Bombyx mori: one gene and its partners. The protein of the gene in region 4 binds, or shares a complex with, the protein of the main gene of each other region. Links are inferred from orthologs where the notes say so. Each region holds a gene or a part of one and is shown on either strand. Other genes may lie near its edges.

Region 1 (6,120 bases), on a different chromosome or scaffold from region 4:
CAAAACAAATAACTTTTTTGTATTCTTTTAGAGTTATTGGATTCTCAACTTTTGAGCCGATCACTTAGTTTAAGTGATTATCTATGGATCATTTCACCACTTGTTTTTCCTACCTTAGCTGATTGTCGAGAGAGACCATGTCAGCGTCACCAGGCTAGCTCACCTAAGCTCACGGGGCTCAAACCTGAAGACGTTGCTAACACGAACCCTGGCAAGAGCCGTGCTTCGCAGAATCTACCACGGGATCGAAAACGCGACCCACTGAGAAGATCCGGCGAGAAACTCAGTGGGCTGTGTCTGTGGGTTAATTTACTCGCCGAGCCCTTCGTCGCGAGCGTCGGGTTCACCAAGAATGATGACCGGTGCTTGGGTTACTTAAAAGCACCGTTAGTGGATCTTTTTTTTTTATTGCCTTTGTATATATATCTTTTAAATCTCTGTCTTCAATGGGTTGATGTTGGATGGTTAAATTTGAGGTGATTGGGTTCTGTAGGTGATGGAGGGCTATTTAAAAACACACTGCTTCATTATAATTATATTGCAGATAGTTTGAACACCATTTTAAAATTATTATCTTTATATTTTTATAAAACTTCTTACATGTTTCTTTGACCGTGTCTAGATTAGAAGTATTGACTTTTTCTTACGAGAATACAATCATCTGTTTTTTAAACGTTTAAAATAATTCTAATATTCGAAATCTGTAATCATGCGTCAAGTGCTGCCTGCCATTACATTTATATTCAAACTCCAACAGTTGAACTGAATTAAATTCAATTCACCCAACTGAACTGAGAACTGTCTAAGCATCTTCATGCTTAGACAGTTCTCTAACAGACCTAAATTTGATCGTGTCTGCTGCACCACGCTCTGAGCGAAGCTCTCATAGCTGATATGTCATACATTATAACACAAATGTGAAACCTAATAAAAAAAAGAAACAAAAAAGTTAAAAATTGTGTATTTTTTCTAAACTTTGAAACCGAGTTTTAAAAAAAAGCAAGTGTTCAAATATCAGGCATGTACCTTATCTATTCTCGCCACAGTGAGCAAAAAAGTGCCTTAACATAGAAATAAAAAAATATATTTAAAAAATCATAACTCGAAAACTATTAAAAATCGCGGAACGTACATGGGGGTGGTTCGGATAGCCCTAGTGATGTTCTACCTCTGGACTTCGGCTTGACACTATTTTTTAGGGCACCCTGTATAAGCGACAGAAGCTTTATAGAGTGGTGTAACATTTATTTCTGTCTCTCTTCCGTCTCCATTCGATCTGAAATGCTTTCGGCTACTGTAAATTTACGAGCAAAAGACTTCAGATCAGATTGTGTATAATAATTTTTTTAAGGGATTTTATGACCTGATAACTTTCTTCGGATGTACATACTGACTTTTTATTTTTTCACATAAAATTATACGACTAACTAATTAATGCTAGGCAACAACTATTCTTCTTAATAAACTTATGATGGTTAGATGGTTGGATGGCAAGAAGACCAGTTCTAACATGAAGAAACACTAAATAGACAAAATAAAACAAATCACACAACTTCACTCCACGTGTTCCCGCCAAAAAGTCCATGTAGCCATCACAGATTAAAATATTTATTACTATTAAAATATTTATTACTACTTAAAGCCATGCTTACTTTGCCTTTTCAATTGGATAATTTTAAAAAGAGAATTTGGTTAGTGTCTACTCTGTGAGGACATTATTGATTTGTCAATTCAATTTGTCAAAAACGAGTAAAACTTACGTGTTATTGAAGGAAAAAACATTTAAAACATAAACAAATCCTCTTAAAATGGATATAACACCATTATTTAAGGCTTGCATAAAAACTGTTAAAACTCGTAACAAGGCTTTCGGCATACACAGTCCGATTAGCGAAGATAAGCAACGCATATTGAGGGTGAAATCAAAAAATGCTTTCATGGCAACAGCTAAGGATATTTGTTCACAAATTACAAAGCTTAGGGACTTTTTATTGGAACACCGCGATAAATATTTAAGCTTCTTCAATAATGTTACTGGAGACGATATGTCTGATGAAGAGCGCGACCAAATAGACACCGGTGCGCAACGTATCATGAACACATGCTCACACCTGCTAAAAGAGTTCAGGAATGATAATCGAAGAACTACAGTGACCCCACAAACTAGGGAATATATGGACTCAGTCGTAGATTTAATTGATGCTTATTTAAAAGCTGTTTGTAAAGTGCATAGTGAATTGAAAGCAATGAGAGTTAAGCGAGCTTTAGATATGAGAAAATTGTCTAGACTTGAGCTACCAGCGACCAAATCTAGTATTCCTAATCCGTTTACACTAGATAAGGTAATAGAAAAAGAGAATGAGACAGAAGATGAAAAAGAAAATACAAAAACAAAATTAGACTTATCAGAGAATGAGATGGCAATTATGTCTGATGAAGGAGAGTTGACTTCAGAAGAGTTGCAAATGTTTGAGTCGGAGAATGTACAGCTGTTAAATGAACTAAACAGTATGACGGAAGAAGTTAAACAAATTGAAAGCAAAGTACTACACATTGCAGAACTTCAAGAAATATTTACTGAAAAGGTAAAAGGTTAAAATTGAATAAATACATAAGCCATTTAAAAAAAAAAACAGATTACAAGAAAAGAATATCTGCCACCAGAGAGGATGAATGTTGTTTATTATAGTCTGTGTATTATATCTTTATAAAATTGCACATACTGGTACATACATATCATAACTATCTTGATCTTAAAATATTCATATTTGGATGTTCTTTCATACGTAAACTATTGGATGTAAATAAATTTTTCAAATCCATGATACTTTAATTGATTTATTTAGATTCAAATTGATATTACTGTTTGTAAAAGTATAATTAACAGTAGCGGTTAAGAATATCTGCCACCAGAGAGGATGAATGTTGTTTATTATAGTCTGTGTATTATATCTTTATAAAATTGCACATACTGGTACATACATATCATAACTATCTTGATCTTAAAATATTCATATTTGGATGTTCTTTCATACGTAAACTATTGGATGTAAATAAATTTTTCAAATCCATGATACTTTAATTGATTTATTTAGATTCAAATTGATATTACTGTTTGTAAAAGTATAATTAACAGTAGCGGTAGGCAGGTAGCTTTTAATAATGAGATATACAAACAGTTTGTCTGACATAAAATGTAAAAAGTGTAAATATGTTTCAGGTTTTACAACAAGAACAAGACATAGATAGAATATCGAATACAGTTGTCGGGGCAACTGAAAACGTTAAGGATGCCAATGAACAGATTAAGCAAGCTATACAAAGAAACGCAGGCCTAAGAGTATATGTTCTGTTCTTCTTACTGGTCATGTCGTTCAGTTTGCTGTTCCTAGATTGGTATAATGATTAAATTTAGTAGTTACTGGTGGTTTTGTGTTTCATTTTCTAAATAATGATAATTTTACAAAAAAAAGGAACAGTTTTGATGATAATAAAATGATCTTAATTGAAATTTTGGAATCAATGATGTTAATATTTTCGCTTTAAATAAACACGTTTTATCAGAGGCTTCTTATGTTTTTTTATGTGAATACGCAAATATTTCACTATCGGTTATATAAAATATACACTATTATTGCTAGAGTTTCGATCTATACTTTAGCCAAACATTTTTTTAGTTGTTTAAAATACAACTATACATATACTAACTAACTATTATACTTATGCTACTAACTTTAACTTATATGAATCTTAGTTGATAACATGAGAAAATGCTGTTAATTAACGTTGTACCATCTATATTATTTTAAAAATACCACTATTTTATTAATTTAGTTACAAATATAACTTCGGTTTTTTACCAGTCGACTAACTTGGCTGTATGTGCTATTTTCTCTTGGACTATCTATTTAAACGTCAAAGTCCAAACTGTCAAGTTCCAACCCCGGGACCTGGGGATTGTTTATTTTTCAGTTTCAAGACCTAGATGCATATAAATTCAGCTGTAATAAAACATATATCAATGTGTTTCCCTGAGGTGATCAATACTGCAGGATGCGTACTTACCACCCTCTCTGTTGCAGTTCATGAATGTAATTCGCGCAGTACGCACGTCGATATCAAAAGTACGACTGCGACCTCACAGAAAGTCGATTGCATCTAGTGCTAATAAAGTGCATTACAAAATGGAGGGAACGAAAACTATGAAGGAACTGGGATACATATTTGATTCAAGTAACATTCTAAATTTTTTATATCATTTAATTAGTGCCTCCACTTATGAATAGGAACAATAAGAAATTTCAGAAATAACTTGAAAACAGGTACAGTTAAGTGTATGCACGAGACCCTCTTAGTGCCAACGCTTAAGGGTGGTGATAACCACTTTCCATTAGATCCATATGTTCATACCAAGGCAATTAATATATGTTGTTAGGGTATTACTTGTAGATATTAAATGCTACACTATTTTCTAGTTTCACTTTTAAATTAACAATAATATGATACTTAATGCTTTTACTACCAAACAGATGGTCAAGTAAGAAAAATTGGAGCTGATGGACAGCCAACAGATGAACCATTCCAATTTGTTGTGAGCAATGATCACCAGGAATGCCAAGCTCATTATGAAGAACTTGGCTCAGCAATCACCAATTATGTTTATGATATTCTTCAGACTCAGATTGGATTGCAAAAGTTACCAATCCCAAAGGATTCAAATGATGGAACATTTATTTTTGTTTCAAAAGATTATGATAAAAAAGATGTTCTGTTAATATTGATTCACGGATCAGGCGTTGTGCGAGCTGGTCAGTGGGCTAGATCGTTAGTATCATGACTTAATTACTAAATTTTGGTTTCAAGTATGTTTAAAATTAAAAATAAATAATATTGATGATGAGATAAAATTCAAAATGCAAATGTTATTTTGAATTTAGACAAGCAAAGCCATTTTTGAGTAGTACTTTAATAACTTTGGATATATAACATGAAACTTCTTCTTAGTACTGAATCATAAAATTAATATAGAAATATGTATATAATGGTGGCTCAATTCCTGATTCTGTTCATTATCCTTGGTTGGTACAATGATGGTATTACCCTTCTGTTCTTCTTTCACAATGGCAATACTCTATTCATCTATGTATTAATATGTACGTAATCAATGCATATTTTTTGTTTTCCCCATGTCTTGTTTTAAAGTAGGTCACGTAATTAGGCCTGCAGTATATTTGTTCTGAAATGTAATTTTTGTCACAGCCTCATAATCAATGAATCGTTGGACAAAGGATCTCAGATTCCGTATATCAAGAAGGCTTTGGCCAAAGACTATGGAGTAGTGGTACTAAATACAAATGACAATCACACAGCAGATGGAAAGACCATTCTCAACAGTAGCACCGCTGAGGAACATGCCCTTTACGCATGGCTGAACTACATATCCAATGCGAATGCAAGTTCCATACTCATTGTAGCACATAGTTATGGTGGGGTTGTCACGGTTTCTCTGGCAGAAGAGGTGCAAAATGACTTTGAAGACAGAGTAAAGGCCATTGCTTTTACTGACTCTGTACATTCCTATTCTAATAAGAAGCTTACAAACTTTTTGAAACAGGTAAGAATGTAACTGGAGGCATGCACAGTTGAAATTTAACTTTTCCTAATTGGTTTCTCGATATTACAGGTTACAAAGAATTGGATATCTAGTCAGACACCGCTGGATACACCTCTCAGAACTCCTGATTTCGATATAACCAGACTTTCAGCAGGTATAAATATTGCATTCATAAAATCAAATTATTTGTGTTTTTAAGGGGAATAGACTATGGCTATTCTTTCTTCTATGAACTTATTTTCTAGATTATAATTACATACTTATCCAAATCTTTGCACTGCCTTTGTCCATGAGTAACACTGAGCATTAATCACTGGTTCAGCTAAAAGCTTACTATTAAGTGCTGCAATAGTAACATTGAAGCAACCATTGGTAAAGGTTGACTTAAACCACTGAAACTCTGCATTTGTGTTGTGTCAAATATATAAGAAAACTTTGTTTGCAGGTCATGAGAAACATGAAATGACATCATACATGTGTATGGATTCTGTTTTTAAATACTTTGA
Region 2 (6,790 bases), on a different chromosome or scaffold from region 4:
ATGTCTGCTTTTATGTAGGTAGGTTCACATTTGTTTCAATAACAGTTAGGGTCTTAAGAATAATGTCTGATGAAATTAGATTTTATGATAATTTCAGCTACCAGTATCCAGTAAACATGACAAATTTACTCAGTTTTAACTTTTATCATCAAAATCATACATATTTCTGTACCTTTGCTGCTCACATGACTAGCAGCTTTATGATAAGCATGTGTATGTCACTGTATCTTACAACTTTTCAGATGCCTCTTCACATCCTTTTGTCTCAGGACTAAGGCAACAACACATTTACACTTACCATAATGAAATAAAAAAAAAATTAGTTGGTACCCACTATCCAGACATATGGGATAAGTCCCAAAAAAGAAAAACCCGTTTTAGGTTTTTTATTTTTCTTGTAGGCAGACAGGCCTACTGCCAATCTGATGATGAGTGGTTACCATCGTACATAATCATCAGGAATGCCCAGGGCACAGCCAAGCTGTTGTCTACCTTTTTTTATATAATGTAGTGTAGGCTTCAAGTTCATACACATCTGCACATAATATTGACGCTTGAAAATCAAATGTGACTAAGCGACAATTACTGCCTTGTACATAAATGATAGGCAATAACCATATTCGATGCGCAATAAAAATATATTTCTAGGTCTATTAAAATCATTTCAATCCTACAGTTAGATTCGTTAAAATAGAATTTTTTTCAGGTATATTTTAAATTAATTTCAACTATAAATTAGTCTTCTGTAAGATTCACGCATTGTCGCTTAGTCACATTTGCCTTTCAAGCGTCGATATGTATTTCTGACATTATGATGCAACTTAATATTCAAAATGTCAAAGATATATGTTAGGTGGAATTAATCATAAGAAATATTTATTTTCCTAAAATGTTATTTGAAAATATTACCTTCTTAACACCTGGTGGTGAGGAATCCAAAGTGAGCTTCCCTATAGCATGGTTAAGAGAGCGTGTGGGCGTCGAAGTTGAGCGACTCTAAAATTTATGACAATTAAAAAAAATCGCTTTCTTAAAATAATAATAAAAATTTAAAAAACAATGTCTTACCATGTATGTAACTAGCTTCGATTCTTGTGGAAGCCCGTTAGGCGGTGCGTATGGTAGAAATATTGATGGATCCATAATTTCAAAACTGCAGTGCGTCTGTGCAGTCTGCTGCAAAGAAGAAAAAACATAGTCAATAAATCAATAAAAGTAGCGTAGGTACCTACTTCACAGTTTTGTTCCCAACTTATGTAGGTAGTAAGCACTTTAAAATTGACCTACCTTAATTTATGATTCTTTTCGATTCACAGTTATTCATGACAATGAGAGTACCCCAACATGTCGTTATTAAGGGTTCAATTTCAACCAGACATATTTGGAAAGCTAGAATACTATATTAAATACGTGATAGAAATCAAACCCTCAAAAATCTAAAAACTACGTATTTCATTGTCTCAAAAGACGGGGCTTAAAGGCAATCTTTATTGATTCATTCACACAAAACACTGGGGCAGCAATTTTAATACAAAATTCACGGACTCTCAGAGACGGGGACACGAAGACAATAGAGACATTAAACAGGAACAGGTAAGAGATGAGTCCTAATACGTCGGTGAAGGTAGTGTGTACCAGTGTACGTACACTACAGTGAAACAGTCTTCCATAGACTAAAAAACATTACCCATGTAAAATGTAAGTCAACATTATAGAATCTAGTACAATCCGGGGTGTGTGAATTCGTTAGCATAACAATTTAATGATTTTCGACTTATTCTGATAAATTTACCCGTATTGGAATGAATCTGTTGTTTATGTGCAGTAAAAGATAAGAAACTGAAAAATACATAATAAGGTTTTTGTTAATTAAGTTGGTCTGAATCATCAATTTCTTGCATTAATTATTACAAAATATTTTAGTTTTCAAATAAAGTTTTTATGATTAAAAATACATTATCTAGGGCCGGTTTAATTAAAACATCATGCTAAGAAAAGAGTTAGTTATTTTTATATTTCACCTTGTTAGGTATTGTTAAGATTATATTTAATCTCGCCTTTTTTCTAGTTTTCTCATAATAGGTTGAAACCGTGCTACCAAGATCTAATGGTCGATTTTATAGCCGCCACTCATGATAAAAGGAGTTATAGGTTATTATTTTCATTTGAAAGTTTTCATCATTATATGTATGGTTTTATTTTTATTTTTAAAATATAGTTGATTTTAAAATTTTACTAATTAAAATATAAAAAAAATACTGTAAAACATCCATTATCCACTTTTTAGAGCATGGCATTCCAGCCTTCTAAAAGGCTTGCTTCGAACTATCTTGTGAGACGATGAGTTTAGATGGGATAAAAAATGACCCAGAAGTGGCTTAGCGGGGAAATTAATGTAATTCTAAGTCATTCACTCCATTTCATGACAAAAAGAGCATGACCCATTTACGAAGCCTTCAATAGTCTCTTACACTATATGATGTAATGGAAAAGCTTGTAAGGCCATACCAACAATGAAGCATTTTCTATCTTTAAATGCGCGATTGTATCAGAGTCTATTAACTGCTATCAGTGAGCTTTTTATTTTTTGAACTAGTCTATGGGCCAATATGTGCTGGCGACCAGCAGATTCTTAGTAAAAACGTGTCAATGTCATTCTGCAACGATTAGGGAAGATACGTGAATACGGTAGTAGTACCCTAGCCAGTTTTTTGCTGAAGATGATATATAGTGGGAAAGAGAGAGCCCTACTATCTCTATACCGATCTGATGTTACTTAAAGAGAAGGCATACATTTTGTAATAATTTTTTTTCAGTTTAAGCATTTAATAAATAATAAAATAAGTTTTCAAAAAGTTCAAGTATCCAATAGGTTCAATTAAATTGAAAACAGTAATCACGTCAGTGAGAGCTTTGGGAAAATTAAACATAATTGCATTGGGTTTTTAAAAAAATGCATTGAACTGTTTACAAATGCCCACCACGTTGTTGAGAGTTAATTAATTTAATTTTATCCAACTATTGCTCTGATGTCTTATGTCATATAATTTCAGTCCATTTAAAATTTCACATAACAGACACGCCTTCCGTCCTTTTTACAAAAAAATATCTATGGGCTCTGTTTTCTTTGCCTTTCTACAGAACAAATCAAACAAACAACAATCTGTTTTGTCAACTGTCATTTTTGATGAGTAATTTTGAGCAAGCAGTAACTGCAGTCCTATGATCAGCTCTAAACTTATCTGTAGTAAATGAGTAGCATATTCTGCGTTTGATTGTTTTCTATCATAGCTCTGTAGTGTATGGGAAGAAGAATACAAACCATTATTTTAATTAACATAAAACTATACATACTCACCATCTCTTTCAATTTATAGTGGGTAGGTACATGATTAATAACACTATATTTTCACGTTTACTTTCATTGTATATCGATTATTTATTGTTTATTTCGTAGTGAAAATGGAGGCGTCTTATCAAGGAGGTGTGTCATACGATGAGAATGGAGATAACTTTCAACGACTTTCTCAAACTATCGCCAGTAATATTAAGAAAATATCCCAAAATGGTAAGTGTTATTTTGAATGCTGAAATGTGAGATTAACGTATGTGAATCTAAGCCTAATATTAGAGAGATACAAAATTACTAGGAAAAATCAAATCAATTAGAAATTTTACTGATTAGAATCGTTCTTACTAAAGTTTTTCTAACATGTGTTTCAATATTTAATGTTTTAAGTTCTAAGTTAGACTACAAAACCCATAGATAGCACTGAGAATGCTGCCACCTTCAGGCTCCTGGAGTCTCAAGTGTTTTGAATAATGTTGGCTGTCTCACCATTCACTCTGGAACTTGAGACTACTTTGAGGCTAAAAGAGACAGGATCTTTCTATCATGCTTTTTTTCTAAAATGTTGAATTCGCTCATCGCCAAGTGATCTCCTTGCTATCATTATATGCCCCACTCTTACTTTATTATACCAATTTTATTTGAGCTGTCAATATTCATCTGAAATAATAATAATAATAAGGATTAACTTTGTACAACTGACGACCGCCAGTCTGGCGTAGGATCTTTCTATCATGCTTTTTTTCTAAAATGTTGAATTCGCTCATCGCCAAGTGATCTCCTTGCTATCATTATATGCCCCACTCTTACTTTATTATACCAATTTTATTTGAGCTGTCAATATTCATCTGTAATAATAATAATAATAAGGATTAACTTTGTACAACTGACGACCGCCAGTCTGGCGTCCCGAGGGGGAGGGTGATGGGAGAGATGTGCTCCGCACTAAACGCTTCACTTTCCCCCCTTTGCCTTGTCATGAGTTCTGTCTCATGCGAGGTTTGGACATTGGTTGTTGAGCGACAGGAGGTTTTAGTCAGTTCGACTCTGACATACCCTGCTCAGTATCCCCAGAAAATGGTGGAAGTCTGGTGATTTCCTGCTGACCAAAAAAAAAAAATGTTTTGTTTAGATTTATTGACTAAATGGTGTCTTAAAATTATTTAACTTGAATAATGCATATACAGTCAAAACCGTTTACTGCGACATCGTTTAATACGACATGCCAGTTATAATAACCAAGAACAAAGGTCCCGGCTGAATGCCATATGACCGCCTTATTAAAAATATTGCTTTCTACGACATTGCTTATAACGACATACCTCATAAAACGACCACATTTAACTAATATTTCGGAGAATTAGATCTGTTAGAACGACCGACTAAGCTGTATTGTAAACAATTTGAATAGGTATCCACATTTGTCTTCAATGGCTATTAAAATCAGGAAAGAAAACAATAGGATTTAGTTTAGTGTAGGGTCTTTTCTAATTCTTAGAAACAAAACACGTGCATGCAGTAGAGTCAAAGCCCGCTTCTTCATATCGCTTCAGTTAGTTTGTTACTTATCTATACACAAGACGCACCAAAACTTTGTGGAGTTATTCGTGAAACTTTCAAAATGTCGCAAAGAAAAAGAAAACAAATTAATATTGAAGAAAAATCGCGTATTATGTAAATATATTTTTCCAATAATTCCCTATCGATTTGTTTGTACTTTCACGATACACATTATATACATCACCGGTTGTTACGACTATCGGTTTTTACGACTTAATATGAGCAGTCCCTTCGATGTCGTTATAACAGATTTTGACTGTAGTTGCTATTTGTAAGTAAACAAATATAAATATTAAGAAAAAAGTTTTATGAAGTTAGATAAAATATATTAAAATTAGGATAATGTTTGTCCTTAAACATATGCAAAGAAAAAATCAGTCTACATCAAAAGTAAAGTATGCTTTATTGTACACCAATATCTGAACTTTTACTACATACATAATTGTTATGTATGTAGCTATATGTAATAATAAAAATAAAATAACACATGCACATGTGTACCAATCATATAAAATAAATAAAGATACAAAACGTTAAACAAAAGAACAGTGGTGAAATCACAAAGAGAGGCCTCTTGAAAATAGCCAATATGTGAGCAAGAATTTTTGAATGAAAGGAATTTACTGAGGTGTACTTATCAAATAAAAAAGAAAAACAGAATAGTATTTTAGTATTTACAAAATTCATCATTAAAAATGCATTTTGATAGTTATGTTTATACCAAAGCATTTGAAGTCTTATGTTAGAGCACAGCATATGCCAGTTTGATTTGAACAATTCTTTATGCATTTTTTTTTCTACCTATGCTGATAGCCTTGAGAGGCTATTTCAGCTTCACCCTAACGTTTGTAGGTGAGCTCGCGGGGCTCAACCGGAGAGTTGCTAACACTGACCCTAGCAAGAGCAGTGCTTCGCAGAATCTACCACCGGATCGGAAACGCGACCCACTGAGAAGATCCAGCGAGAAACTCAGTGGGCTGTGTCTATGGGTTTTTTGCATTTTGTCATTCAGTTATTTATGAAGAATCTTAAATAATTAATAACTAACATAAGTACTTTTAATAAATTTCAATATATAAAATAATAAAGCCTTTTGTTCAGACAACAGATTTACAATTATCTTTCTTATACTACTGCACTTTTATGTATTTAACACAATTAAAATTATTCACATATTTGGTGCTTCTTTACTTTCTGTAAATCCATAGGCTGTTGGCAAAGGCCTCCTCCAACCTACTTTATACTGATCTCTTTTGATCTTGTGTAATTGTTTTAAAAATTTTGCAATTGTTTTCTTATGTGGTTGGAGGATTGTGCTCCTTTTCTCCTGCAAGGACTTGTGGCTTGCAGGAAATTGTGTTATTTCTTTTGTTTGGTTTTCATAATTTGGTTGGATTATCCGTTTGGCGGCTGTTATTGGTTTTTATGTGTGAGGATATGAGTGGGAGGGTTTGATCGGATTCTCATCAAATCGAAGGCGTTTGTCCTGTGTGTTGTGGTAGCAAAGGCTTTCTCTTTTATGTAACTTCCTAAGCTACCAATATATAGATTCATTTTAAGCTCTGTATATTTAGTTTACTTCCATAAATAAATTAAGGTCTCTTTTAAAGTACTCTTTAACAGTTTGAAATAGTTCTAACATGGATTTTTCGAAATTGTTAATATGAATTATGGCAATGACTTTGGGAAATTACTCTTTTAATACTCATGTACATAATATAATATATAATATAATATAACTACTTTAGTTGTAGACGTAGTAGTAAAGAACTAGAAACAATATTACAGTGGTCTCCACAAATAAACAAAACCCATAAAAACTTGCTAGAATGTGCTATTTTGCAATGTGAAATTTAATTAACAATAAATTGGCTTTAGAAT
Region 3 (6,822 bases), on a different chromosome or scaffold from region 4:
TTCGATGTTTTCACTTGAATTTCACATGATTGGTTGAACTTCAATTAATTTTACTTCATTCATTTAGGTAGCTGAAGAAGTTATTTTGTTATTTTTTTTCACAATATTAATTTTGAATTTCATGATTTGATATACAGTAACATACATAAAATATAAATCTTGTAGGGCAATTTTTGTTTGTATTGGTATCATTACCTCTATGACCTAACTTCATTTTAGAGAACAATTTCTTTGTACCTAGTTTATAGCAAATGTAGCGTTTCTTTTACATCTTATTAAAAAAAAATGTTTATTTAACATTTTATAAAAGCAATAAATGAAAAGAATATAACACTTCATATTGGACTTATGCCTGAATCATTTAAAATACTTACACAAGGCTAACTTTTCCAATTTGGTATATGTACTAGTAATATTCTTACTAATTACTTTTGCCATACTCATGAATTGGGAGTAAGTTTCCAACACAGCAGCTTTTCTATCATCTCTTACGGTTGGTTTGTTTAAGAAACGTCCTTGGAGACTGCGTACAGTTGAAATGAATTCACTTGTTCTATCTCTTGAAGCCATAACTGGTTCAAAAACAAATTCTTCTAAAAATTTAAACACGTCCTGGTCAGATGATTTAAGAATCAATGTTGATTTGGAATTTGATGAGTTCTCGTAAGGCCGCGATTCCCCGTAATGAACACCTTTCTTATCTAATTTATTGTATGAATCCGTTTCTGTTTCCAAGAGTCTTTCTGTAACGCCTATATTTCGCCTTCGAGGAAGCATCGCATTGTAGTCTTCAGTCTTCACCTATAAAGTTTTACAGAAAAAACGTTGTCAACTTTGTTTGATAAGTAAATTACATTAAGTCAAACAGTACTGTTACACCACACATATGCTTTACTTGTTAATGATTGGGGATATTTTGTTTGAAAATGAAAACTTACAATTTACATAATTGAGGCAGTATTTCACAATTTTACATTCCAATACTTACTTAGAAAACCAATAGCGTTCAAATAATTACGTACTTTCATAGTACATTCATGTGTGTACAATATTTATCATTTCATCTCATCGATTCTTTTCAAAACTCGATGATATATCTATCTTTTAAATTATCAAGTCCCACTATTCCATTTTTTAGATAAGGTATGTAGGTACCTACCCACAATCCTTTATTTTTAATCACTCGATAGATTCCAGACACGTAGTCATAGATAATACACTTAACACGTAGGGGTAGTCATAGACTATTCTGGCTTAGTTTGTCCATTACTCACTCTGTCACTCACATGCGCACGAATACGCAAACCCGCAAGTGTAGGACGACATTTGCGAATGATTATGCAAAGTTTTCGCTGCATTCGTGGTTTTCCAAGCTGTGTCGGTTTTTTAACAGACATCAAAGCGCGCGAACCTCGAACCTTCGCGTAGTCTCCCACACATTCGCTTGCCCAGTTGCGCCGACGATTGCGAAGGTAACGCCGTTTTCATAGTTCGTGACGTCTACTGTGTAGCGTATCTTCATCAAAAGAAATCCCATAAAAACAGCATGGCTGTTAATCATGTCTGGGAAAGAATTCAAAAATCTTTTTCTTTTCAATGTTCTATTGACGAATTAAAAAGGAGGAGAAATTCGTGAGACATTCGTAAACAAGTGTAGGAGGAAGCGCAAACGGGTTCGCAAATTGAGTATGCGAACCCATTTGCACAGCCGCTAGGTTTGCGAATGAATGTTTGACGGCCCTTTACATGCGCGCAAACATTCGTACAATGTACGAATATTTGCGCGCATGTCAGTGGCCGGCATTAATACAATTAATTTTTTTTTTATCTCAGATCTACTTTTTTTACTCTTTGGGTTACAGTCCTGTTTCATTTTCATCTTTTTATGGATTTTAGTTTCTCTTCATGCCAACAAATTGTTGCCGTAAAAATTCTATAGAAATAAAATAATAATTTCATCTGTCATTTGAAACATATTCAACAAAATTTTCACAATACAAACATCTGGAACAGCCATTTCAATGTAATCTCAAAAAGCATATTAATTTAACTGTTGTACCACTTCGTTAGAATTGATGTGGGTATACCTAGTTGTTTGTCTTAGCAATTTTTGGCAGACTAATGACAATGTGTTTATGTTTCTATAGAGAAGGTCGATCTCTTCACTTCCAACTATTTAAATTAAATGACGAAGAAGTGACACCAACGAACATGTGTGTGTGTATCAAAAGATTATATCGTGTGATGATCAATGGGTCGTTTTTAAATTTGGGGCCAAAAGCGAGTTATTTAATTCTCATAATAACCTTAATGTTACCGTAATTATATGTTCAGTAAATTTGTTGTCATAACAGGCGCGTGGTCCTATAACTATACACCACTATTTTTAAATTAGTACAAAAAAATTAACTGGGCTCTAAGTATCTTTAACTAATCATATTATATGGTAGTTAAAAATAAAAAAAACACGAAGTCTCAGAACTGTCCATAAAAATACGTAATAATTGGTAAATGCTAAATAACTAAATCAATGACCGAAAGTACGTGCGGCAGGGTTTTAGTATCTACGGGGCGCTGCTCCATTGATAAATTCCAGGAAACTCAAGTCAACTCAACTCAACAATAACGACAAAAACCTAAACACTACTAAATTGTTAGCGGAAGTGTGCGCATGCTTTTTTTCGTTGCAACAGTTGTTTGTTTAAGTTTTCCCTGATGCGATGGCTTATCAGTTCACATCACGGGAGTATGTAGCTATGCTTCGTGGGTACTTTTTGAGTGGAGAAAATGCGAGTGCAGCTGTACGTATGTACAGGGAAGAATACCCGAACGCGAGTGCAGCTGTACGTATGTACAGGGAAGAGTACCCGAACGCCCGACAGCCAAATGTGCGAACCGTGGTAAATGCTTACCAGCATTTGCTTGATCACGGTTCATTCCACGCACCGTCACATAGTCAAGAACGAGGAAGACTGGCGTTGTGACAAAATCTGTACGACGATGTACTAGCGTATTTTGAAGAGGATCCCCGACGGAGTACAAATGACACTGCTCGACGGTTTAACAACAGCCAGTCCTGTGCCTGGAAGATTGTTAATAAGGCCGGATTATATCCATATCACTACAGGAAATCTCAGGAATTAACCACCGTTGATTATGTAGCGAGGATTTCATTTTGCATCAGGATACTGAACAATACCGAAGCAAATGTATTATTTTCTGCATTGGGCCTGTAGCTTGGCCTCCACGCTCACCTGACCTCACGCCCATGGACTTCTTTTGTGGAGTGAAATTAAGAGATGTGTGTACAGAAGCGAGCCGGTTAGGCTCGCACAATTAAAACAGCGCATATTGGACGCTTTTGACGAAGTGAAAAGACATAGAAGCGCACTTCTCTCGTTAAAAACGAGTTAATGAAACTTGCCCGTCAATGTATTGACAATGGTGGTGGACATGTCGAAGGACAATTGAATATACAAGTATTCATGATGAGATGATATGGGATGAAATATAATCTCAGTAAAATGGTGGTTATTTACTGAAATTTTTTTAGTGGACTTTTTGGAGGATCCCGATAAGTTACGTCCAGCGGCTTTGTTTCATTTTACCACATTTGTGCACTTTCACAGATATTAAACAGTTAATAAACCACCGTTATTACACATTTAAACCTGAAGAAACACTAAATAGACAAAATAAAACAAATCACACAACTTCACTCCTCACGTTCCCCCCAAAAAGTCGCTGTCATTTTTTTTTCTCTTTTTTTAGGTATTTTATGACCTGGTAGCTAAGACTTTTAAGTCATGTCTTATTTTAATTTATACTCTTATTTTTATGAAAAATTATGAAATGAAATGAAGATGATTAATTTGAGACATTAATCAACTGGGATGAAATCAAATGAAATGAAATGAGATGATATGGGATGAAATATAATCTCAGTAAATTGGTGGTCATTTACTGAGACTTTTTCGTTGGACTTTTTGGAGGATCCCGAGAAGTGACGTCCGGCGGCTTTGTTTCATTTTCCCACATTTGTGCACTTTCACAGATACTAAACAGTTAATAAACCACCATTATTACACATTTAAACCTGAAGAAACACCAAATAGACAAAATAAAACAAATCACACAACTTCACTCCTCCGTTCCCGCCAAAAAGTCGCTGTCATTTTTGTTTTTTTTTTTAATTTTATGACGTGGTGACAGAGACCTTTAGGTCATATCTTATTTGGAAAATGTTCATTAGTTTGGGGCTGTCATTTATAGTTCACTTTTATCATAGATTATCATAGACCTATATAGTAGGGACACGACATATTGTACTATACGTACAATTGCTTATATAAATAGCACCCATTTTGAAGGCACACACATAAACATATATCTATCTCGTTCTTACTCAGCACTTTAACTCGCAGGAAAATAATATAACAGTATTTCAGTGCGTACATAAAATGAAACATGAATATACGTAAATGTCTAATGAGGCCGAAAATCCGCCATGTTGAGCGCTCCAAATGTCATTGTCACGTCAGTTCGGCCGTCTGTTTTGGGTTGCGATTTAATATGATTGCTTATATAAAATTTCATATTTTATCATGCTTAAAACATACAAAAATAATAATTAAAACGTATTTTATAGGATCTCAAGAAAGTCGATGCCCCAAAACTATTATCTATATATATTTAAATTCATTACGGAGCCCTCATCCGAAAAATCATTTTTCGGTCGGAATCTATTGATCATGACACTAATTATAAATACCTCTTTAAAATATGTCATCAAAACATATTATTGACATTCTGTTTAGATATTTCGGGAAAAAGGCTACCGACAAAATCTCTTCGGAACTATTTAAATAAAATAGTTTTATGCCGCAGTGAATAAAACACTATTGTAAATTCGGTAAATATTTAATAATTAAGTGATTTTAGAGAGGAAGTCACAAGGAATGACGTTTGTAATTAATGAATAAATGTTCTGTATAGTGGGATTTTTTATTAGACGAAGTAAACTGACGTTTACTGTGTTGTCAGGTTTTGATGAAATAAAAATAGTGTTGTGACAAAGTGAACGATTGAAAAAACTCCTGAATTAATGAAATTGCCTCGATTGTCTAATGAATAGTAGGTGTGCCGAATTGCCGATATCGGGTACGGGGTTCGTATTTTATGCGTGCTTTGTACATACCAACGAGTTTTCGACGAAATATTATGTTCCTATAGTATCTACCTGTACTGAATACCGAGTGTTTTAAACATTATGAAAAACATTGCGAGGAAGCTTGTAAAACTGTCCTATTTCCAATACATCAGATAGTTGAAATTATAGATGTATAAAATATAACAATTATAGGTATGTAACGAAAATAAAAAAAAGTGTGTGTGTCCGCTCCGACGCACGACTGGAGTTTACTGGATATAAATATAAATTTGTGTCAGTTGAATACAGTAAAATATGGAAGTTACGTATTCTAGTGAGAATGATCCGGGAGTTGCGGAACACGTGGATGCGGTAATTAAGTAAGTCTATATAATTCACTTTTACAATTAATATATAAGTTGTCCATTCACTGATAGAAGGAATTGTTTATATTTAATAAGCTTTATTAATAAATGATTTGTAGCGGGTTATATTCGGGTATCAACCCACTAACAGTTGATACGTTCAGGAATCGAACCCGAACGGCGTCCGGCCACAAGCAAAACGATGTCGGTAAATTAAACGAAACAATACGAGAAATAGTTCTATATTACGACAACACGATACACTACAGATTATTAACAAATTAACGAGACACAAAACAAACGACTAACAAATATATGAAAATACAATAATGAGAGAAACGCGCGATCAGTACGAGGCTTTGTGGCGGACTGCCGGCGCAGCAGCCCGGCGTCACCTGCGATAACGCGGCCGCGCGTTGGCTCCTGATTGGCCAATCAGGAGCCAATCAGGCGCATAACGCATTTCGTGTGACATGCTATACTCTCTAGTACGATTTTGGTCCCCATAATTTTCATACCCCGGGCCTATATATGTAAATCGATTCTTAAGGAGTAAACTCCAAAATACTGATTGTAGTTACATACTACTAGTAACATATATTGGAGCACTTTAATACAATTTTATTGTAAAATATAAATAATATTCTTTTATAGTTTGAAATTAATGATTAATTCTTCACACTCATTGTTCATTCATGTGATTGAACGAGAACTAAACGCATCACTATTACTTTAAATATAGCAACATTATTTCACAAAGTGACATTAGCTACTGTCAGCTGGCTTCGTCTAATTAAAAATCCGACTATAGGTGTTTTTTTTTTCACGCGGTCCTACGATAAGTTTAAAATTTGAATCACTCTCACGTGAAAGTGATTCAAATGGTGCGGCGCACCTTCCTTGAGGTGCGCTGCGGTAGTGTGTTACGGACTTTAGGTCAGCAAAACAATTAAAATAGATTGTAATAGTCTAAGAAAAACACGTACTCAAAATACGATAACATTTAGCATGCTAGAAATGGGCAGATGGCACTGTACTACGCCATATCTTTATGTTTTGCGACAAACGACAACTTTATAAAATCAGTGTAGCAACTTTTAAAAATCATCATATCGTTTACTTGGCAAATTCGAAGGACGAACTTGTCTTAGATTTCACACATCTAAATCATATCATATTTGCACATAACAATATACCTACTTACTTCCCATTAAAGTATAAATTATTTTATTTTTGGAGTTTACTCCTTAAGAATCGATTTACATATATAGGCCCGGGGTATGAAAATTATGGGGACCAAAATCGTAC
Region 4 (6,791 bases):
CCAGTTCGCTTTAGAACTGAGTTTTATGGCACAAGTTGACTAGTAGCAAAATAGCAATTACATAGCTAAAGTATTCTTATTACATTAAGTGGCTATATTATCTATGCCCTTTGTCTATTGAGGCAATGAAGAATAAACTTCAATGTGGAAATTTCATAGTATACACAGATCACTCAATCACCTGATGACATTTTGACCAATCCATCCTTATCCATCTTTTTCTTTCTTTGTCGGACTGATGACTTCTCATTATCACTACATTTTAATAAATCTTCTCTTTGTGCCTTTTCAATAGCAAACATACTATTTATATTGGCATCTTTAAATTCCTTAAGGAGACTGAAATTGTTAAAATTATATTCTTAATTTTAAAAAATACAACAGTCTCTACTATGAATATGATTCATTGTTAAAACTTAAGATGACATAGTCAAAATAACTTTGTAACAAATAATAACTTTGTATTAGAAAAACAAGTTTCGCCTTTCAAATATATATTTTTAATAAAAATTGTGGTTTTTTGCTACATTATTATGATACTACTGCTTCTTTAAGCACACTCTACTGGATTATAGACCTACTTTAGGTAGATCATAGATTAGTAAATCACAATTCCGCAATTTAAATTGACAAACTTATTGTCAAAATGATTCTTCCAAGCTTTAGTGCATGGTCCCAAGTTTTGTTGCATAAAAAGAAGGGTCGTTTTATCAAGATTTTTTCGAAAGATGAGTTAGTTATAGGATATATAGGAGGATATATATATTTTTATAGGATTTACAAAATATGTTTTAGTAACTGACCAAGCTAAAAGGTGCCTCTGTGATTCTAATTCAGTATCATATTTTGTATCCCCTGTTTCTTTACCATACAGGTATAAATTTTCTAATTCCTCTCGTACTTCCGTTATTTTTGCCCTTCCTTTTTCATTTAACTCATTTAATTTCTCCATCGACTCCCTGCATTCCAGGATATCCTAAAAAAACAAAAAATATTTATAATTCTAAGGTTTATTCCGCAAGTATCAAGCTGTAATCAAATTGCTCAGTTATTAAAAACTGTTATTGTTGTCAGGCACTTTGGTTTATTGACTCAGATCAACAACTCAAGAAACCAAGAAACCACATATACATTTTTACAATACATTTCCAATACATTTTTGAAAATTTATTGTACGTGCGTAAAAACATTGTAGAATTCCCCAGAGTCTGCGATTTGCATAATGTGAACACTAAGAACAAACATAGGCTTGCATTGCCGGCGGCTCGAATTAAGAAAATAAGTAACTCTTTTAGGGGGCTGGGTGTACAACTTTTCAACAAGATCCCACAAAACGTTCAACTACTACCTGTTCATAGATTTAAGAAAACTGTCAAGGAACGTTTGTGCAACAAGGCATATTATAAAGTTAAGGATTTTTTACTAGATGGCACTACGTGGGAATGAGGCGTTCGCTCCTGGCCTTTTCATTTTTCATTATTATTATTATTTAATTGAATTGTATTTTTTTGACTTGTTTTTTTGTATACTGTAAATATGTTTTCTTGTTTAAAAAAAAAGAAAATAGTTGAGAAAATACAAAAAAAAAAAAGCCCACTGAGTTTGTTTCGCCGGTTCTTCTCAGGACTGTGGCTTTTTTTGGAACCGGTGGTAGAGTTAATATTTTCTTTTACATTTTGACATTCAACAAGTGTGTTTTTGATGACATCCAAGTTGAAATAAATGATTTTAAATTTGAATTTGACATTGTGTAGTAGTTAACAGTGTTCATCATTTTATTTATTTATTAATTATATGAGTGAATAAGCTCACAGTTCAGTAGTGTGAATGAATTTCTTGTGCTAATAGAAATAAAGTGAATGTGAATGCAAACAATGAGCTTGTACTTAACTTTCAATACTTTTTCTTTTATTGTTCATCTAAGCTATTAAAAAGATGTCTATGAACTACGAAATTCTTAATAAGAAATACAAACTGAGTTTTTAGATTCTAGTCCTCTTCTACTTACTTTACTATTCTAATTCTACCGAATATCTTCTATGTAAAAAAGACATCTAGACAAAAAAATCTAATTTATCTAATTAATTTAATATACAAACAACATACCTGGATAATTGCTTTGACTTGAAAATGATACTTAGCCAATCTCTTCACGAAATTCTGATAGACCACATCAGGATTTTCTAATTTTGCAAACAACGATTGATGATATGGGTCCGTTGGACTCAAATCCATTTTGAGGGCCATTGTGGTGTATTTTCTATATTATCATTAAAATTTATATTAATTTACAAGTTAAATATTACTTAATCTTATTTGTTTTTAGAGAGTTTACGGATTCATAAACTTCACTATTGTCATTACAATGTCATGTGTCAGAAATGTCATTCATCATAAATCATGTCACTAGTAGGAAGGTAGAAGTAAGAAGTCCACCGTGTTTTTTATAGACAAGTTTGCTAAGTGTCCACCTGTACACAGCAGCTTCTACCTTCTATACATACACTAATCAACTAGATCCAAACAATAGCATAGATAATATGTACCTACACTTCATATTTGAGAATATTTGGTGCAAAGCAGAACATGTTTCAAAACCATCGCAACAAATTCGCAAAATATTAACTTTCTTATTTCCTACAAGAATCAAATTTTTTTTTAAAAGGATTTATTCATCAATTTTTAAAGTACCTACATTTCTTATAATACAAAATAATGTACATAGCCTATTGAAAGCAATAACGATATTATCTCAGGTTAAAACTTCATGTGATTAAGTATACCTAAAAGGATTCTATATTAATATTACTGATAGTAAGCTATGAACCCGCGCGGATAAATACCACCACCCTGCAAGTTTCTACCGCGAAAAAATAATGCGTTTCAATTTGAAACGCGGGACAGCCGTTGAACTATAGGACTAAGACTTAAAATGAAGTCTCATGTTGGCGGCATTCATCATTTGTATGGGCCGAAAGCTTATGCTCCCGTCAAAGCAAAAAAGTAGCTACTGTCGTCTTTAATAAAGCATGCTAAATAATTTAGCACTCGCAATAAACGATAGTACTACAAACACTAGCTTCAAAAAGGTACCTAATGGCAATGACGTACACATTATTAAATCTATCAAATTTAAAACGTTCTTACAGAAACTAGAAGTATCCAGGTATATAGCGTGATAGCCACGAGATGATTTTATTTTAGATCTACATTTCGGACAGTCCGATTGCCTTTCCAACGTTGTCTTTAAGCAGGTGGCGCAGAACACGTGGCCACATTTCGTCGCCAGCACGGATTTATTACAAAGATCTTGTAGACAAATTGGACAAATTACACTGAGTTTTTCATGCTGACTTTTAATATTTGTCTGAAAATAAATCCATCATAACACATAATTCGATCCAGAAAACAAAAATGCCCGCTGGGGACATTACCACTACATTAACTCCATTTTTTTCTACCTATGCTGATAGTCTTGAGAGGCTATATCAGCTTCGCCCTAACGTGTAGGTGCGCTCACGGGGCTCAAACCGGAGTGGTGCTAACACTGGCCCTATCAAGAGCAGTGCTTCGCAGAATCTACCACCGGATCGGAAACGCGACCCACTGAGAAGATCCGGCGAGAAACTCAGTGGACTGTGTCTGTGGATTAATTCGCTCGTCGAGCCCTTCGTCGCAACCGACGGGTTCGACGAGGACGGTGACCGGTACTCGTGGTACCTAAAAGCACCGTTAATAGATCAGGAGGATCCATTATGACGTGTTTTGGGCGCCGTCGACTGTTTACCATTCGGTCTATAGGATCAGGTATGTATAACTCCTAATTAATATAGGTTTATTAGACACAAAGATTAGATTGTCATGAACGCTTCACTCTCTTTCATATAGATAGGAATTAAATGTTTTAGTAGAGGCTTGGTAATGTCTTATAGCAAACCTCTTTGGTAGACTGAGACTACTTTCCCGCGAACTGACCGTCTTTTCATTGCCTTTTCTAAGGCAAAAAACCTGCTAAACTAAGCCTATAGGATATAATTTTGCTGCCACAACATACATAATTAACTACGTGTTAGAGCCTCAACCCTTCTGAAGAAACGTCTGAAGAATATCTTTTAAATCCCCCTTAACAGTATTGAAGTTGGGCTTTGTCAGTTTAAGGCTACAACAAAAACTTAGGAGGAAAAAACTTACAAGATCTTTTTTATTCTTTGATTTCTTTTTTATCTTTTTAACACGCTTCCCAATTTTCTTTGTGCTGTCTGTAGTAAATGCAGGTTTCATAATGCTAAGCAGAGGAGACCGTAGGAAGAAACATTGGTGTGGCACAGAAATTTAGCTAAAATACACTCATGAACTCTTATGCGTAAAAAAACTTAGCGTCTTAGGTGACATTTAGTTTTTGCTGTCTTTTAAATCTTGATGTTTAATTTTGAAGGTTTTACTTCTAAAATTTATTCAAGGATTAAACATAGGGTCTAAAACTCTGTTCATTCAGTACAGATTTGCTGAGCATGTTCTTACTTAATAATACTTAAATTTATTATTATCAATCTTGATAGTTGTAATACTTATATGTTCAACTTAAGTACCTATCTCTAATTATTTATTTGGGATGAAAGGATTTTTGTTGGCCTCAGATCGTGTCGGCCGGGCAAACTCTAATGCGGAGTTTACATTACGAAATTAGTGTCATGCATGTTGAGCTCAGTTTCACGAAAGTAGTTTCAATATATGCGAAAGTAATTTCGTAAAAAAATTAGTGTCGCGAAATCCACAGTATCGCAGTAACCATGGCGCCGTCAGCATCAAAGCTATATTTTGCTATATTCAATGTAGCTAAAAAAATGCTTATATACCTATGAACTTAAAAAAAGGCTATCAATAAAAAAAAAGTTGGTAGATTCGAGGATGGTCAACAAGAAGGCATTTAGGTGCAATGAAGTTAGTCTCTGAATTAGCAGATGAAGATCCTGAGAGTAATAAAAACTATTTTCGAATGAGTGAAGATAATTTTGATTTTTTACGGTAGGTGTTTCGGGTCCCATAGACACCCTTCTCGCTGATATTCATTAATAAGATCTATTTTATTTTTCTGTACTCCATCGTTGGTTTGCCATTTTCAACGCTTGAAGCGCGTCCGAACTAACAATACACACGTCCGCACAACGCAGGCCCTTTCGCGACATTAGTTTCACGTCGCGTTTACACTATGAAATTAGTTGCATGACACTAATATCACCAAAAAATCGCGCAGGGCACGAAACTAATATGCATGCATGAAATTAATGCATGCATTACGAAAGTATTAAATTACACGTGAAACTGTTGGTAAAACTAATGTCACGAAATTAGTTTCATGCCACTAATTTCGTAATGTAAATTCGCCTTAAGGCTTAGCTATGAGGGCAGGATGTTCTAAAAACTGCCCGAGGCCCGCAGTCTCCAATTACAAAGCGTGTATCACAGTTTTTATCTATACTTTATAGAATATTTTCTATAGTCAACAACGTATTTTTTTTTCCTAATGGATAACGGATCGTGAAATTCTAAAAGATAAGGGATTTAAAAACATCTTAATATTACAATAATAATATTCCAATGTAATGTGATATATCAATAGTTCTGCAACTGTGACCCTTTAAGCTTGACACCCAGGAAAGAGATGAGCTATGATTGTACACCACATAACCAATTTTGCTTTTGAATTGACCCTCCGGTCGGTGATGGATCCACGATCTAATGTTATAGCGGGTCGTAAATGACCCACCCAATACATAAGTTCAATTCATATTAAAAATAATTAGGAAATAAAACATGTTTCGTTGTTATTCAAAATGCATTTAATTGTTGATATTAAAACACAATGCCTCATGAAAAGCTTTCATGAACGAAAGTAAACTTGGTCTTCGTAGTGCTAGACGTGTATCCACATTTGTGTCTTAATGCTTTCACTAATTTCTTCGGTCCGCAGCAATATAAGTTCAAATGGCGTCTGAAAGTGGAAGTAAAATTTTAATACTGATCAGCACAGTTCATACATCTAAGTAATTAACATGATCAAAAATAACCCTATGACACTGTTTTATTTCCATCTCAAGTAGTGTTTTGGAATTATGTAAAACTTAACTTGATTAACATGTAAAACTTTCACAAGTCGCACGCAAATCATGTGTGCATAATGCGATTTTTTTATGTTCTCGATAGCTTAAAAACTACAAGGGCGGGATGATAAGTAACTAGCCTAACAATAAAACGCTTAACTTTTCGTGATAAAATTAATTTTATTTTTCGACATAGTCTCCGTGAACCTCTACAGACTTATTCCATCTTCGTTCTAAAGCAGTAATGCCTTCCATAAAATGATTTCTTTCGAAGTCTGCAAAATACTCCTGTACAGCGGCTATGACTTCATCATTTGTGGTAAATTTCTGTCCGCCCAAAAAAGTATTGAGCTTAGGGAATAAGTGGAAGTCTGATGGCGCTATATCAGGCGAATAAGGTGGGTGATGAAAATTATCTAGAAGATTAGCGTAGTATTCTCCATTAATCGTTTGACCTTTAGGAAGGTAATCTATCATCAAGATCCCATCTGCATCCCAAAAGACGGAAGCCATCACTTTTCCAGCCGACTTTACAGCCATGGCTTTTTTGGAGCCGGGCATCGCGATTGCGTCCACTGTTTTGATTGAATTTTTGATTCTGGCATGTAATAACGAACCCATGTTTCATCTGTTGTTACAAATCGACGTAAAAAATCGGCATTATTACTCTGAAACGGTCCAGACATTATT
Region 5 (6,702 bases), on a different chromosome or scaffold from region 4:
AAGACTTAATAAAAGTATTAATTATTGTTATAACAGAAGATTTTGGAACAGTGGAAATTTTATTTTATGCGCTGCGATCCCTATTCTACATAATTATATTATAATCAAATGAGGAAAAAATGTTATGTGTATCGAAATCTAAATACAATTTTTTTATTTAAAATTTCGCCTCAACGATACATTTAATTGCGATGAATTTGTGCATTCGTCCATAGTGAGTTTCCAGCGTTTCCATTTTTTCTGCCACGTATCATCTATCTCTTTCCTGAGCGCTACGATATGACTTTCTTCAAACGAAGTTTGCGCAGAGTACTGAATGGTAGTCAGCGCTTTGGCTGTATCTCTGGCATCGCTGACGTCCATGAGTGACAGTATCCACTCACCATCAGGTGGGCGGTATGCTCGTCTAACCAACAAAGACAATTAATAAAATAAAAACGTTAGAGGGAGAGAGAGAGAGAGAGAACATACTTTATTGCACACCAAAACACAATTTTACATCAGAAAACAGTCAAGAAGCAGATGAGTTGGTACAATAGGCGGTCTTATCGCTAAAAGCAATCTCCTCCAGACAACCGTTTAATTACCCGAAATTCTGCACAGCAGATATATTGCGGTGTACTATTAACAACACATTATTAAAGAAAATACATCCATACAATAAATATATATGTATAACGTGTAACCGTTACAGAATATGAAATTATGAAACATGACACAAAACATATGACATATTTTATTTACAAAAACAACTTTAAAAATACACCCTGCCGCTTATTGACGTAAATATCTATTTGTAAAAAGGAATCAAAACGAAATTACATACGAAGTTCATAACTGAATGTTATATAGAAGATTATTTATTTAATTTTACTAAATAAATTCAAGCATACGTTTCGGAACGAAAACAACTCAATGAGACCGCGAAAGTAAATTATCTTAATGTCGTCAATTTCTCCTTAATTCGAATGAGTTTTATTTTTGGATACGTATAGTGATCTAATGAATGTAAATACTATAATTACTGTGGCCGTGACACAAGATATCGGCCCGAAAACGTAAACAGAAGATCCCACAATAATCATAAATATTCCTATGAAAATAAAATTGAAACGTTGTTTATCTTGTACAGATATAGATATTTGTTCTGGAGCTCTACCCACGTACGAAATCGTCTGTAACAAAATAGTATGTGTTATTTATATAATACAATATTACTATAAACTTGTGTGCTGTCGCTTAAATAAACTCGCATGCCATAGTTGATCGATTCACTTTACTGATGGTATGACCTCTTGAGAGTCCGTACGAGTAGATACCACCACACTGCCTATTTCTGCCGTGAAGCAGTAATGCGTTTCGGTATGAAGGGTGGGGCAGCCGTTGTAACTATACTGAGACCTTAGAACTTAAATCTCAAGGTGGGTGGCGCATTTACGTTGTAGATGTCTATAGGCTCTAGTAACCACTTAACACCAGGTGGGCTATGAGCTCGTCCACCCATCTAAGCAATAAAAAAATAAAAAACTTGATTTGGTAATAGATTTTGTTTATACGAGTCATCTATTATCAAAGGTGGCAATCTGTGCATTTGGACAAAAAAATGTTATTGATATGTCAATACAGATTGATTTGAATATAATCGTCTCCTTCAAAGAATACGGTTCAAAACCTGCTTAAATAAAGGTTAATACTTAACCTGTTATTTATCTAAGATGTCGTGCAGAAGAGTTTTGTGACTGCCAATGGAATACAAAGTCAATAATTCGTTTTTCTGATTTACCAATAATTGTCCAAAAGTCACATTGCCGGCTTTGATAATAGTCGACTCATACATACTATTTAATAGGTATTCTGTGAATTTTTTTCCATTTAAAATGTTGAAACTGATAGTCTTTTTTTCCGCCGCATTCATACATCCGGCAGAGACATTTATAACGAGCGAAACTAAATAAAATCAAAATTAAAGGCAACCCCGTATTTCTCCCGCGGAGCAGTAAGGATCCCCGTTTGAAGGGTGGTCCTTGTTATACTGTAGAACAGAGTTAGAAATCATGTCTCGAGACAATGGCATTTACGTTATTCATGCTTATGAGAGAAATAGCTAATGACTATATTTTGTAGGCTTAATGTCTTATGTAAACTTACACTGTACGATAAACTATCGATGCTATCAACTAAAAGCATTTTCTCGCCGAGAATTGTTTCTGAAAAGAAAAAAAAACTAATTTAAAATTAAATGTAGTTTAAGAACCCGTACGTTCAATTACAAACCGTACCAACAAATAATTTTATCTTTATTTTGTACCTTTTTTGAATACCGGTCAGGATTTCAGAGCGATTAGAGCAATTAAAATTATTGTTTAGCTAACGGTCCTTCATTCGTGTACAAACTTTCTGATTAGTGGTCGGTACGTCTTAAAATCGATGCAAATCACATTATAAAGAAGACATACAAACATACATACGTATAATTGGAATTTAATTGTTATTATAAAAAAAATATAGACACATTTTTTAGATATTGCTGCTTTCATCGACCTCGCCATGTTGCCATTTTGTTTTATTATTATTTCTCTCTTTCTTACAAATTTCTCTCACTCACACCTTAACACTCCGTTCCACGCTCTTTCCATACGTTCCGTTCTCAACCATCCTACATATTTACCAAACTATTTAATAAATAACTAAAAATTTATTGACACATTTTTTACACATCGCTCACTTCATCGTCCTCGCGGTCTTGCTTTTTTTATTATTATTTCTCTCTATTTCTCACAAATTTCTCTCACTCACACCTTAACACTCCGTTCCACGCTCTTTCCATAGGTTCCGTTCTTAACCATCCTACATATTTACAAAGCTGTTTAATAAAAAATGTTTAAAAAAACTTACCACTCCTTTCAACGCTGATCCTGTTCAATTCATCCAGTTCGCCATTTCTTATAACTATAGTACTGTAATCTTCATTGTATCGGTACATTTCCTCTGCCAGTATATGTTCGAAATTTTTTACGTATTCAGCAAATCGTCTCTGGATTTGATTTAAGAATAAAAATGCCCTTGATCTCTGACAGCTCTGTTAAGAAAATACATTTGATTTGAAGACTATAGAAAAAATATTTACATAATTCTGACTTAAGCTAACATAAGGGAACTTTATGCGAATAACGACGTGTGCTTCTCTCATATTTAACAGAAAATCTTTACACAATCTTGCACATACAGAAATATGTAAATAAAGTTTCTTCAATTTTCAACTGACGTATATGTTTAGTTTCAATATTCAACCTATTTAATAAGTGGCAATCGTTCGTCCAAATTTTCTCTGTGCTATGTGTTCAGAAGATATATGGGACAACAATAAGTGCACCAGATCGAATAACTAATATCTTTAAGAAATTTATTGACGAGAACGAAATAAAAAAAAAACAAGTTTTAAACACCGGCCACAATAAAAATGAGATATTTTCGTTTTATACTATTCGTTTTTTTTTCTACCTATTCTAGTAACCTCGAGGGGCTATTCTAGATTCAGTAAGTGAGCTCACGGGGCTCAACCGGAAGTGTTGCTAACACTGGCCCTAGCAAGAGCAGTGCTTCGCAGAATCTACCACCGGATCGGAAACGCGACCCACTGAGAAGATCCGGCGAGAAACTCAGTGGGCTGTGTCTGTGGGTTAATTTACTCGTCGAGCCCTTCGTCGCAAGCGACGGGTTCGGCGAGGACGGTGACCGGTGCTTGAGGTACCTAAAAGCACCGTTAATGGATCGGGAGGATCCGTAATGACGTGTTTTGAGCAATTCGAATGTATTGGACGACATTATCAATGAACTTTCAGAACAATATTTATATTCTATTTTTTCATGTATGTTTTTTAACTTGTAAGAAGTCCTTTTCAAACGAAATCGTAACTTACCTTTTCTGTAATACAAAGAAATATATTTTTCTTGTGAACAACATAGTGAATCAAATATTTTCCGTGAAGGTACGTCATCTTGTGATCATGTACCGGTATTTTTGAGACCATTCGTTCGGATATCTCCACGAAGTTACCATCGCAGGTTGCGAATTTCGAAACGACTCGTTTATCACACGCTATCACACTGAATAATATAGGCATTATAAATATGACTACAAATTATTATCACTGTTCACACCATTTGACGCTTTCACTATTATTATCAGTTTCAATAATTTTTTTGAAGAATATTGTTTAACTGCTGCATTACAAGAGTACAAACCGCAACTATACGATGTGGCGTCCTCTCGATCCGCCCACGGTTTAAAGATTTTGAATGTCCAAACGCAATGCGTTAAGGATGTCATTCGTTTTTTGACGGAAATAAAACAGATCTAGTCACATTAGCCAGTGTTCTCTGTATTTTGTTTAACCGATGCGATATCAAGACTCTGGTAACCTTTTGTTACCAAATGGACCGACGTGTGCGCAAAAATGTTCATTATAAAACAGATTTGTTTAATCTGTGCATGCATTATTCTTCAAATTTAATTCAACAAAATATTCATTGGTTTTGTTTAAAGAAAAAACCCAGTAATACAAGACTTGTATTTGTTTGTGTCTAAAAATATAAGAGGAATTATCTTAAAAACTGAAAATTTGGTCTTGTTGCTATGACAAGAGTCCGCGATATCTATATATTAATACGTGAAGCAAAAACTTTGTATCCCTTTTTACGAAAATTGCGCGGACGGAGGAGTATGAAATTTTCCACACTTATAGAGAATATAGAGAAGAAGTGCACAATGCTAATATTTTTTTAAAATAATGCATAAAAGATACATTAAATCAATAAAGAAAACATTACACACACTACATACCATGTATTTGACGCACACACGCATGCATACTATTTATTGTCCAACTTTTGTTCTTGACCTCTGTTGTCAGATTGAGAATAGATTAAATATTGTTAGTCTTTGTTAATATTTTTTATAGTGTAGTCTTGGCGAAATTTGTGACTATAGAAGTATAAAATACAATAATAATAGTGTACAAACTTACAATTCCAATTAATTATAGTCGAATTTCGACTACTGCGGGACCTCTAGTATTAATAAAATCACTTGCTTACAGTAAGTCGGTTAAGTGTAGTATATTCTATGCCAATAAGACAATAACTGTGGCCAACATTTAGTATGCTGCTGCCAGATGTTGATAGAATTAGGGGACGCGATACTAAATCTACTTATGAAGGAAAAATGTTTCCTTTATTAAAAATAATGGAATGAAATCTTCCTCGAAGCAACATATACTACAACAACGCGAACAATAAAACACACATTAATAATTTATTAAGCTAAGCTTATCTACATTGGCGGATTTTTTAATTTATAACATTCTTTCGTGACATTCGTATACCAAAAACAACTGAAAAAAAATCAAAATAATCATGTTATTATGAATCACCAGTATCACTTTTGTTTTTCATCTTCAAGAACAAACAAACACCTCCTTTTTACCATAAGGATATGGATTGTTACCGATATTTTTACATACCTACTTGATGCTTGTGGGTTACAGAAAAAAAAAAACGAGAAAATCGAACGTTTGACAACCCTGCATTGAAAAATTCAGTATCGCACAAATATCACACGATCGTTCTAAAATAAATTTCCGTGTCGGCCGAAGCTAAAATCGTTTCGTGCTCGCTAAAACTGTCACCGTACATAAATTGATCAGTTTTAAGAGACATGTGCAGACAAGCGTGCCACGCATGTGCTCAACTTGCTTCTTTGAGATAATTGAATATTATTTGCCTACGTACTCATACACTCCGAATTTTGAGCCAGGACGGAAATTTATCACCGTCCTGCCCAGTTTCACCGTGAAGTAAACCGTTCGTGTTTGAAGAATGAGACGGCCGTTTAACAAAACAACTCGTCCGGCAGTAAAGTGTAATAAAAACCATGAATTGCAACGAGTAATTTTGGTATTAATTCTAATAGGACGATAATCGGAAGGAATGGAGTGGTTTGAAAAAAAAATTGTTTAAACTACCATTGTCACAGTATAGGTATATTATAACAATACCTACATTTCTTTTTCTACAGATTCGCTCGCTGCGTATTTTGTCTCAAACATTTATCGCATACCGTATCCTCTACAAGGTAAACGCCTTCCGTCTTGAGACATAGATTGAATACGTTTGCAATCTAACATATACTACCACAAACTATTTTTTGCCGATTTACTTATCATCACTTTTTTTTTCTACCTATGCTGATAGCCTTAAGAGGCTATTTCAGCTTCGCCCTAACATGTAGGTGAGCTCACGGGGCTCAAACCGGAAGTGTTGCTAACACTGGCCCTAGCAAGAGCAGTGCTTCGCACAATCGGCTCGGAAACGCGACCCACTGTGAAGATCCGGCGAGAAACTCAGTGGGCTGTGTCTATGGGTTAATTCGCTCGTCGAGTCCTTATCGTCACCAGTTTCATATTGCGTATAGATAACATTGGTTCGACATTATGTCAAAACCTGTTTCGGGATTAACTTAAAATGTGTTTGCTGCTGGTTGGCAAAGTGAAGAAAATAGACAAACAGATATTTCTTAGATCTTTTTAATGTACTAAATCACGTGTTTGTTGCAATATATTTGTTGTGTTGAAACAGCCCGACTCATGAATCGATCTTCAACCATCATTACTCCATGATAACGCGAGACCTCATACAGCACGA

The links.
Region 1: vesicle transport protein SEC20 (region 4) and syntaxin-18 share a complex: the UniProt entries of both Homo sapiens proteins name them as parts of the SNARE complex. The link is inferred for Bombyx mori from reciprocal best matches to the Homo sapiens genes BNIP1 and STX18.
Region 2: vesicle transport protein SEC20 (region 4) and syntaxin-7 share a complex: the UniProt entries of both Homo sapiens proteins name them as parts of the SNARE complex. The link is inferred for Bombyx mori from reciprocal best matches to the Homo sapiens genes BNIP1 and STX7.
Region 3: vesicle transport protein SEC20 (region 4) and syntaxin 5A share a complex: the UniProt entries of both Homo sapiens proteins name them as parts of the SNARE complex. The link is inferred for Bombyx mori from reciprocal best matches to the Homo sapiens genes BNIP1 and STX5.
Region 5: vesicle transport protein SEC20 (region 4) and vesicle-associated membrane protein 7-like share a complex: the UniProt entries of both Homo sapiens proteins name them as parts of the SNARE complex. The link is inferred for Bombyx mori from reciprocal best matches to the Homo sapiens genes BNIP1 and VAMP7.

What each region holds. Positions count from the first base shown.
Region 1 is NC_085127.1:13,547,741-13,553,860, reverse strand, and holds syntaxin-18, read left to right. Parts: upstream 1-1,668; 5' UTR 1,669-1,808; coding exon 1,809-2,585; intron 2,586-3,220; coding exon 3,221-3,409; 3' UTR 3,410-3,427; downstream 3,428-6,120. Other genes in the region: cotranscriptional regulator FAM172A homolog, read left to right, coding at 3,986-4,003, 4,083-4,233, 4,530-4,824, 5,260-5,614, 5,684-5,768, 6,060-6,120. UniProt on the Homo sapiens protein: Syntaxin that may be involved in targeting and fusion of Golgi-derived retrograde transport vesicles with the ER.
Region 2 is NC_085107.1:5,737,308-5,744,097, forward strand, and holds the start of syntaxin-7, read left to right. Parts: upstream 1-3,179; 5' UTR 3,180-3,380; intron 3,381-3,457; 5' UTR 3,458-3,462; coding exon 3,463-3,568; intron 3,569-6,790. Other genes in the region: PAN2-PAN3 deadenylation complex subunit PAN3, read right to left, coding at 910-996, 1,069-1,143. UniProt on the Homo sapiens protein: May be involved in protein trafficking from the plasma membrane to the early endosome (EE) as well as in homotypic fusion of endocytic organelles. Mediates the endocytic trafficking from early endosomes to late endosomes and lysosomes.
Region 3 is NC_085118.1:10,687,762-10,694,583, forward strand, and holds the start of syntaxin 5A, read right to left. Parts: upstream 3,739-6,822; 5' UTR 2,938-3,738; coding exon 2,913-2,937; intron 1,564-2,912; coding exon 1,412-1,563; intron 1,241-1,411; exon of another isoform or gene 1,029-1,240; coding exon of another isoform or gene 1,023-1,028; exon of another isoform or gene 989-1,022; intron 802-988; coding exon 375-801; intron 1-374. UniProt on the Homo sapiens protein: Mediates endoplasmic reticulum to Golgi transport.
Region 4 is NC_085116.1:13,638,672-13,645,462, forward strand, and holds the start of vesicle transport protein SEC20, read right to left. Parts: upstream 4,399-6,791; 5' UTR 4,192-4,398; intron 3,368-4,191; 5' UTR 3,148-3,367; intron 2,568-3,147; exon of another isoform or gene 2,261-2,567; 5' UTR 2,248-2,260; coding exon 2,107-2,247; intron 977-2,106; coding exon 804-976; intron 340-803; coding exon 182-339; intron 1-181. Other genes in the region: NADPH oxidase 4, read right to left, coding at 5,869-5,992. UniProt on the Homo sapiens protein: As part of a SNARE complex may be involved in endoplasmic reticulum membranes fusion and be required for the maintenance of endoplasmic reticulum organization. Also plays a role in apoptosis.
Region 5 is NC_085119.1:6,313,708-6,320,409, forward strand, and holds the start of vesicle-associated membrane protein 7-like, read right to left. Parts: upstream 4,315-6,702; 5' UTR 4,125-4,314; coding exon 3,921-4,124; intron 3,080-3,920; coding exon 2,896-3,079; intron 2,208-2,895; coding exon 2,149-2,207; intron 1,176-2,148; coding exon 960-1,175; 3' UTR 1-959. UniProt on the Homo sapiens protein: Involved in the targeting and/or fusion of transport vesicles to their target membrane during transport of proteins from the early endosome to the lysosome. Required for heterotypic fusion of late endosomes with lysosomes and homotypic lysosomal fusion.